Linked DNA regions of Arabidopsis thaliana. The protein of the gene in region 2 purifies or fractionates together with the protein of the main gene of each other region. This does not show direct contact. Each region holds a gene or a part of one and is shown on either strand. Other genes may lie near its edges.

Region 1 (4,116 bases), on a different chromosome or scaffold from region 2:
TGATATGCTGCGTTGGGCCTGCAAATAAAGACATTAAAATGACAAACATTAGCCCAAAGACATGTTAAGCAGCCGACAAAATTAGGCACATCATTCACTAAATGCTGGTTCTAACCGTCTGATGATAAAATATATCTGTCAGCCCTCATGGCAGCTTCACTCCGATCATCTCCGTTTCCAACAGAACCACCTTGACTAGATGAGGTCAGCGGGCTAGAGATGTTTGTTGTTGCTACGAGAAGGAACAAATAAATAGAAATATTGATATAATGCAAACAACGTGAAGAGGAAACAACAATAAAGCAAGGTTTATAACCTTCAGAAGAACGATGTCCATTTTCAGATATGGCATCTACATTAGATGAGGTAAGATTGGGATCACCATCAGACGGAGCTGCAAGAACACACATCATATATAAAACTTTTCAAGCAAATTGTGTACATACCCCAAATTTGTCACACCTAACCTTCAGACGACACATCACTATCAACACTTATCTCATGTGAAACAGAAACATCTCTGTTGCAGTTGGAGTTACTGGAATGGATGAGGGCACAATAAAGGAAACTTTAGTAACACAAGAAGAATATTTTCAATATCACGTTAGATTGTAAAGAACACCATTACGCATAACTAGTTAAATTAGCTGTTAGAATATGTAGGCAAATTAAAGTGGTAAGAAGTAACAAATTTGAAGGAATGGGGATGTAATTGAGTCCCACTAATAATAGGAGATGCAATCAGAAATACTAGAGGCAACATAATTGTTGTGCCAAATTATAGAAAAATCGCAATGTTTGCAAAATTGACAAACGGGAGATGAACAAAATTAGTAGTAGGAGAAGGATGTATCCGAGGCAATACCTGCAACTGAGATCTTCTGCGTCGAGATCCGAAGCAGAATTTGCGAATTTCGCTGGATCAACAACTGTACAGCTGTGTCCCCCTTTCAAGTACTACGACGCCCTCGAGAAGGAGTAGAAGTTGGCAGAAGTTTCCAAGAGAAGTAGGGTTTGACTCGCTTGACGGAGGGTGGGAAGGAACGCGAGTTAGAATTCTAACGCCGGTAACTCCTTGTTGTCACCATCGAAGTCGATTAAAACCAAGATCACCTGATGGAGGCCAGAAATAAGAACAATGGCGATGGTGTAGAGAAAAAATGGCACGCATTGGACAAGAACTGGGGTGGGTAATTGCGTTTGCAATCGAATGAAGAAATCAGAGAGCTATGGTAGGAAATAAGTGAAGAAGTAGGTTTAGGGTGGAGATTTTTATTCGTAGACAGCACAAAAGCAGGTGAGAGACATATTGAGGAACAGTGTGAATGATGATAGCGAGAGAGATGAAAGAGTAATTTACAAAGAGAGAAATACTCAAATCCGAAAGACATAAGTTGGAGTGCCTATTTCCGAAAGGCACAATTATTTTAGTACTTTTTTGTAAATAACTTTAGAAATAAAAACATTTTGGTTAAAAGTGGTAAAATTGACCAAATTTCTTTAATAATATTGGACTAAATAATATTTTACATAATAATAAAAATTAATTTAAAAATACGAAAATAACTATGTTTATAGTGGTCCATTTCATACTCATAGTCATTGATAATAAACTGAAGAATTAAAACTAAATTTTACTGAATTTGAAAAAAAGATATATATATTTCTACGCAAAATATAAAGAAAGAGTCCGTTAAAGCCCAATTTCCTAAGCCTAATTAGTGAATCTCTCAAAACCCCTAAAAGGTTCCTTTAGTCTCTCTTCTCTACTTCTCACTTTTCATTTTGCGCCACCCAAACCCTAAAAGGCAACGAAGGTAAAAAAAATCTCCGATCTCTTTCACACAATTCCTCTCTTCCACCCTCACCGATTTCTGATTCTCCGGTTTCATTTCTCTCAATCTTATCAGTCAAAATCCGGCGAAGATGGTTGCAGCGAAGAAGACGGTATGATTTTTCTCTGATCTAATTCCACAATCCATGAAATTTTTGAGTGTACTGATTTTTTGTTGAATCCATTTCTTGCAGAAGAAGTCCCATGAAGGAATCAACAGCAGATTGGCTTTGGTGATGAAGAGTGGCAAATACACTCTTGGTTACAAATCTGTTCTCAAATCTCTTCGCAGTTCCAAAGGTATTAGAAACAAACTTCTCTGTTAGCTTATTGATTCATAAGCTATTGGTTTTTGAATGTTGTTGTTTGATTGTGTTGTAGGTAAGTTGATATTGATATCTAGCAATTGCCCACCATTGAGGAGATCTGAGATTGAGTACTATGCTATGCTTGCTAAAGTTGGAGTTCATCACTACAATAGAAGTAAGTTCTTTTCATGAACAAAGACTATACATTTGTCCTTACTGGTTTAGTATCATTGTACAACAGTTTTGTTTGAATGTAGTTAGGATTGTTTAGTAGAAATAGTTGTGGAAATGCAAATTATTCTGTGGGATTTGACAGTGAAGCTCTTCTCATTCACCATTTGAAATGCTCCAATACTGAATTGATCTGTTCCCAAGTTTGTGTACGTATTGTATAGATAGAGAGTGTAGTGTTGCAAATTATTTAGTAGAAACAGTTTGGTGTCATTGTATTAGTTTCCTTTATGGTCTATGATTGTTCTGTGTGTATGTGGTATTAGTGACCAATTCTTTACACTGTTTGCACTTCCCCAATAGGAATGCACTTAATACTTAAATGATATGTTCCTGAAAGTCTTGTATATGTTGGATTGTGTAGATAGAGTGTGTAATTTTGCATCTTACAAATCCATTAGGGTGATCCTTGTAGTTGTTTTAATGTAAGGACTAAATGGTGTAAAAGCCTGAACTCACTTATATCATATCAGTTTCCTCCTGCACCAGTGATTGTTTGTTTTATGTTTTCTGGTATTAGCGACCAATTTCAGTGAGAACCAGTGATTCAGAAGTTGTTCCTTACTTGCTTTTTTCTTTGAGAGTCTTGTAAACCTTGATTATGTTACTTAAGACTACAGAAACTGTTTATTTTTGATGAGTCTCTGCAACTATGTTATTTTATTGCCTGATTTTTTTTTTTTGTACTTGTTCCTTTTAGACAATGTTGATCTTGGTACTGCCTGCGGTAAATACTTCCGTGTGTCATGCCTCAGCATAGTTGACCCAGGTAACACACTCATTCATTGTCTTTTAGAATAATCATCTTACACATGCAATGTTAATCTTGGTTTGTTTACTTATGCAATATTTTCAGGTGACTCTGACATCATCAAGTCGCTTCCTGGAGACCAGTGATTTGTGCTTAATTATCATTTTGTCCTCTTTATCTACTTTATTCGAAGTAGTGTGTTTCTTCGTGATTTCTTCTTCTCTCGTCTAGAATTGTCATACTTGTTTAAGATCTTTGAAGACTTTGTAGGTTGTCTTGGTTTCTAAACAATTGTGGTAATTGAAAATTTCGACTCTCTGAATTAATACTAGAATGATATTCCTGCAGTCACTAAGTATTATATATGATATATAGGTTGACAAAAAAAGTAATTCTATGTATAGTTAACATTGGCATGAACACATGTTTTAGGTCTAAAATAAATATTACAAGAAATCTATGTAGTTTTCTCAAAATAAACCTAATTCTTTTAGATTTGGTAGGATCTATTACCAATAGTTTAATACATGTGTCCCTCAATAATCTCAACTCTACACCATATTTACTATTTAGTGTCATATAAAACAATTTCTTAAAAATTGAAATATAAATTGAAAATTTCATGAGAAAATACCATATAAAATTTCATTAGGAAATTTCTCAGCGTATTTGGAGGGTTACAGAGCGATAAGATGAGTTCACAAGCTTTTCTCTATTTTTAATCTCTCGTAGTGCTAATGTTAAAACGGATATTTTGGCACGAAAAGTTCATACCCAACCGATTCATATTACATTTGTAAACAACTACCCTCAAGATTGGCTCGTTTGAGCCCTAATTAATTTTTCGGATGACAAAAAGAAAAAAACGATATAAAATCTTTTTCCTAGATATCTTCCTACACATTGTTATCATTTCCCTTCAATTTATGAGATTTTTTCCTTGTGATTTTAAAAATTTGTTGGTTTTACTATTTTTAAACCCAAATAATCAG
Region 2 (5,053 bases):
AAAAAATCTCAAACATTATAAATAATACTTAAAAATTCCTTATGATACCATATGAGTATCACCCATATACATGCTATTATTGTGGGTAAAAATAGATAGTTTTGCGCAAGACCTATTAAATTATGAATATTTTGATTATTTGTTCCATAATTATTAAAATTTGAACATTTTTGTTGTTAGCGCAAGATTCAATCCTTGCTTTGGGGAAAAATTAAAGCTATACGTAATTTCACTGATCGTTTTTGGAAAGAAACATGGAAATTAAAAGGTGAGCTTTTTTTTTAGTTGCTGCTTCTCTATTGATGAGTTCCTAGCGTTATGTGGAATCTAGAAACTTTGTGATTTTGTTTATAATCTATGCTTACTCTTTTCTCATGTTTACGCTTCTAGATGATAAACAACGAACACGTTGGAATAAGTCCTACAACATCTTGTTTGGGATGGAGCCAGGAAGTTCTGAGATGAATCTATCTTATATGCCCAACTACAAAGGACTTTGTTGATTTCATGTTTGAAAAGCAAAAGCCTATCCAATTCTTCACTCCAACGGTTAATTTTAACCACATTCGCGGTTCTACTATATATCCTTAATGAAATGTAGATTCTAGGACCTTAAAATTGTTTTTCCTCTGTGGCAGAGAACTTTTTCTACATCGATGCCCATGAAAGTCTCTTGACTTCTTGCCTCCTACTATTTTATGCATCCTAAAGCGAATCTCGATAAGGTTGTAATCTCTATTATATCCATCCTAAACACCGTTTGTGTATTCTCCATGTGTTTGATTCCTTTTGAATGTTTTGGTTCCTAGCTGAAACTCCAATATGAGGGGTTAGAGCATTAGTTATTCAACCTAAAACTCCATTATCTCTGACTCAAAGACCTATCATTGTCTTTAGTGTGACTCCAAATTATGAGGCTTTCTCTCTACCTTGCAAGATCAAACTTGAAAGAAATCTTGATAAAATCCTAACTTCAGGAAAATTGTGTATATACATATGTCGTTTAATCGATACTCTACATGTTTGCTTGTTTAACAACGATATGTGTGTACGTTTTGTGCATACTATTTTCAGCAAATAGTTTTTTTCATAGAGAAATTAAATTTTAGTAAATACACGAATATTATAATTATGATCTCACAAAAAAGAAAAAAAAAACCGAGATCTTCAAATAAATATAAAACTTACTTACATAGACATGCAAAGCCTTCTTGACATGCAAATGGATGTTGTCCATGTTCCTAATAGAGGGGATGAAACCAATCCACAAAATTTATTTTTACTAAAGTGATGAGGACTTATAGCCTTAGAAATATAGTAATTATGAGTATCCAAAACAGAACAGTTGGTCTTCTTAAATAAAAAAAATAAAAAAAATAATTAGATGTTTATAATAATATCTTATTATAACAGTTGGTCCTCTTAATTTTTTTTTAAAAAGAGATAATTAAATGTTTATAATAATATTTGTAAATTAACGATGTCGGCTCACTAGATTTACGATGATTGACGTATTTGTTTGTAAATTTTATGAAATTACGTTCATTAAATTAAATATTTAAATACTAAAGATTAACAGCTAAAGAAATCTTAATGAAATATTGCCATCTTTGGGTTTTAAATTTTCTATTTTTCATATTTCATATCGGATATCCGATTAAAAATGAAATCAGTAAGTATACCAAAATACAAGCGTTATATTTATTGGGCCTATTCGGGCCATTCAATAATTAATTCACCCACGCGCAAATGAGTTAATCCGTAAAATAGGCTTTAAAGCCCATTCAATAAACCCGTTTCGCAGGAAAAAAGCCCATTAAATAAGTAATTTCCAGAAATACCCTTTTCCAATCATTGAAAATTCAAACTTGACCTAAAAAGTATCTGAAAAGCCAGCGCCTTTTTTCGTTACGAATCCGTGTTTTTGCCAGCTTTCAATCCAACGGCTCTCCTTTCTTCTCACAATCCGTAATCATCGCTCCCCACTCATTCATTATAAACAAAAACAAAAATCCACGGAGCCGATAAAAAAAAAAAAAAACTCTCTCAGATCTGAGAATCATTTCTTCTTCTTCTTCCTCACTTTGTTCATCATCTTCTTCTCCGATCTAAACAACAATGGCGACACCAGGAGCTTCCTCAGCAAGAGATGAATTCGTATACATGGCGAAACTCGCCGAACAAGCAGAGCGTTACGAAGAAATGGTTGAATTCATGGAGAAAGTCGCGAAAGCTGTTGACAAAGACGAACTCACCGTCGAAGAACGTAATCTCCTCTCCGTCGCTTACAAAAACGTCATCGGAGCTCGTCGTGCTTCGTGGAGAATCATTTCATCGATCGAACAAAAGGAGGAGTCTCGCGGTAACGATGACCACGTTTCGTTGATCCGTGACTACAGAAGCAAAATCGAAACGGAACTTTCTGATATCTGTGACGGAATCCTTAAGCTTCTCGATACGATTCTCGTTCCCGCTGCTGCTTCTGGAGATTCGAAGGTGTTTTATCTGAAGATGAAAGGTGATTATCATAGGTACTTGGCTGAGTTCAAATCTGGTCAAGAGAGGAAAGATGCTGCTGAACATACTCTTACTGCTTACAAAGCTGCTCAGGTTTTTGATCTCTTTCTCCGATCTGTGATTTGATTTTTGTGTGATTTAGGTTTTTGAAATTTTGGTTTGTTGTGTAGGATATTGCTAATTCTGAATTGGCTCCAACGCATCCGATTCGTCTTGGTCTTGCGTTGAACTTCTCTGTGTTTTACTATGAGATTCTCAATTCTCCAGATCGTGCTTGTAATCTCGCTAAGCAGGTTTGGATCTCATCTGAGGGATGTTTTATATGATTATGTATTGTTGGTTTATGTGTGTGTTTGATGAGTTTTTGTTTATGGATTTATTTAGGCGTTTGATGAAGCAATTGCTGAATTGGATACTCTTGGTGAAGAGTCATACAAGGACAGTACTTTGATTATGCAGCTTCTTCGTGATAACCTCACTCTCTGGACTTCTGATATGCAGGTATTATATATTGGCTCCTGTATGATTGATTTTGTTGCTTGAATTGTGAAACAATGAGCCTAATTAAGTCATTGACAAAAGTTAGATTTGGATATCAAGTTTATTTGATGCATTCTTCTGGTCTAATTCTGATTTTGGTGATTGTCAACTGTGTTAGTAATCTTGCTAGGTATTATATTTTGGCCTTATAAGCTTGTTTTTGTTGCTTGATGAACGAATAACGTTTTTGTTTCTTGATCTCTGAAACTTTTAGCCTATAATTAAACCATTAAGAAAGACTTGATTTGTAATAAAACAGTTTAGTTTACATTTGGATGCATTCTGCTGGCTCTGATTCTGATTTTAGTGATTGTCAAATGTATTTAAGCCTGTTTTGTTGCTTGATTTCTGAAACCATGAGCCTTGTTAAGCCATTGCGGAAGTCTAGATATGGAAAACAAACAGTTTAGTTTACATTTTGATGCATTCTCTTGGTCATATTCTGATTTTAGTGATTGTCAAATGTGTTTAATCCTGTTTTGTTGCTTAATTTATGAAATCATAAGCCTTGTTAAGCCATTGAGGAAGACACGAATTGAATATCAAGTGGTTTAGTTTACATTTTGATGCATTCCTCCTTATGCCTTGCTTAAGCCTGTTTGTGATTTCTGAAACCATGAGCAAGATATATGCCATTGAGGGAGACTAGATTTGGAAATCAAGTTGTTGCTTAGTTTACATTTTGATACATTCCTCAATCCTTCTTTCTTGTGGTCTGATTCTGATTATGATGATCTTGTCAAATGTTTTTTTCAATCAGGACGATGTTGCTGATGACATCAAAGAAGCAGCACCAGCAGCAGCAAAACCCGCTGACGAGCAACAATCCTAAGTCGTCTTACCGCAACTTTGTTGTCATTTCAGTATCTAAAACCTCTCCATTAATATGTTTTTCTCTTGGAGGTGTTTCTCTGTTGGTTTCTTATTTCCTTTTATCCCCAAGCTCTCTAAGGCAGTCTAATTCTTGTCCTTTTTTGCTGCTTTTCTCAACCGTGGATACGAAAACTCGATTCCTATTATTTTTCGTTTATCTGTTTCCATTTTATCGTGATTTGACTCCTATCTTCTGTGTCTTTGTTTGTAATGGATTCAACTTCTCTTTTTGTTTCAATGTCAAGAAAAATCTTTGGTTTATTTCGAAGTTTCCTCTCATGTTATACATATAGTGTACATAGCTTATAGCTTGAGTTTGCTCAGATTGATCCGTTCGACGGGATATGTATATGCCTCGAAGTTGATTTGCTGTCCTAAGCAACTTAGCTTTGTGAATGCAGTTATGAGATCAACCTACAAACATATTCATAAACCAAAACATGAGCTTGAGTTTGAGGTAGATGAATATATGATTAAGGCAAATCGAGTGAAAACGAACCTCGTAATCAGTCTGAGATACGGTTTCACGGCTTCTTTGATACTTCTGAACCCATGGAGCAACTTGAGGGTCAGTAGCTAAGAGCTGTTCTGTTGCAGCTTGATCAGGACCCAAGAATGCAGACATTACAGCTAGCTACAAATTCCTCATACAGGTTAGTTACTTCGAGTGATCCTAGTAGATAATTCTCTGTTTAAACCGAAAATCATGTACCTGACGAGGACCCAATCCAACAGCAATGAACTTATCTTTCATCTCTTGCACAGTTGCTTTCCCCCATTGTGGGACTCTGCCTTCTGGATCAGCCTCTGTTGCATCACTCCTTCCAAAATTTCTATCAAACAATCCCCACTAACAGATTCACAACGGTTCAGTATCGATTTGAACAAAACGCCGCGACTCAAAAGCGAATACGATAGCATTGTTTACCTGACCAGCTGAACCATATGCTGTGTAAAGTAAGTTCCCCTTCTCTTCATTTCCACCACATTTTCGGATAGCCGATGCTAAATATGTAAACTTGACCGCTGATTGTCCTACAGAAACCAACCCAAGAAAGATTTCAGTTATCCACAAATACAATAATGCTACTCTTCATGAACAAGTTTTGGTATATACTATAAC

The links. The genes of interacting proteins can lie anywhere in the genome.
Region 1: the proteins of GRF1 (region 2) and AT1G36240 purify together in Arabidopsis thaliana (affinity purification with mass spectrometry, with the first as the bait; one study listed by BioGRID). This does not show direct contact.

Annotation. Positions count from the first base shown.
Region 1 is NC_003070.9:13,612,964-13,617,079, forward strand, and holds AT1G36240 (Ribosomal protein L7Ae/L30e/S12e/Gadd45 family protein), read left to right. Parts: upstream 1-1,926; coding exon 1,927-1,947; intron 1,948-2,028; coding exon 2,029-2,134; intron 2,135-2,215; coding exon 2,216-2,317; intron 2,318-3,073; coding exon 3,074-3,142; intron 3,143-3,229; coding exon 3,230-3,270; downstream 3,271-4,116. Other genes in the region: AT1G36230 (uncharacterized protein), read right to left, coding at 1-18, 116-232, 317-394, 468-538, 866-947, 1,064-1,088.
Region 2 is NC_003075.7:5,773,269-5,778,321, forward strand, and holds GRF1 (general regulatory factor 1), read left to right. Parts: upstream 1-1,941; 5' UTR 1,942-2,118; coding exon 2,119-2,610; intron 2,611-2,687; coding exon 2,688-2,810; intron 2,811-2,901; coding exon 2,902-3,018; exon of another isoform or gene 3,019-3,103; coding exon 3,104-3,170; exon of another isoform or gene 3,171-3,376; intron 3,377-3,521; exon of another isoform or gene 3,522-3,731; coding exon 3,732-3,889; 3' UTR 3,890-4,213; downstream 4,214-5,053. Other genes in the region: TL29 (ascorbate peroxidase 4), read right to left, coding at 4,234-4,344, 4,430-4,564, 4,643-4,780, 4,859-4,965. UniProt on the Arabidopsis thaliana protein: Is associated with a DNA binding complex that binds to the G box, a well-characterized cis-acting DNA regulatory element found in plant genes. Involved in the regulation of nutrient metabolism.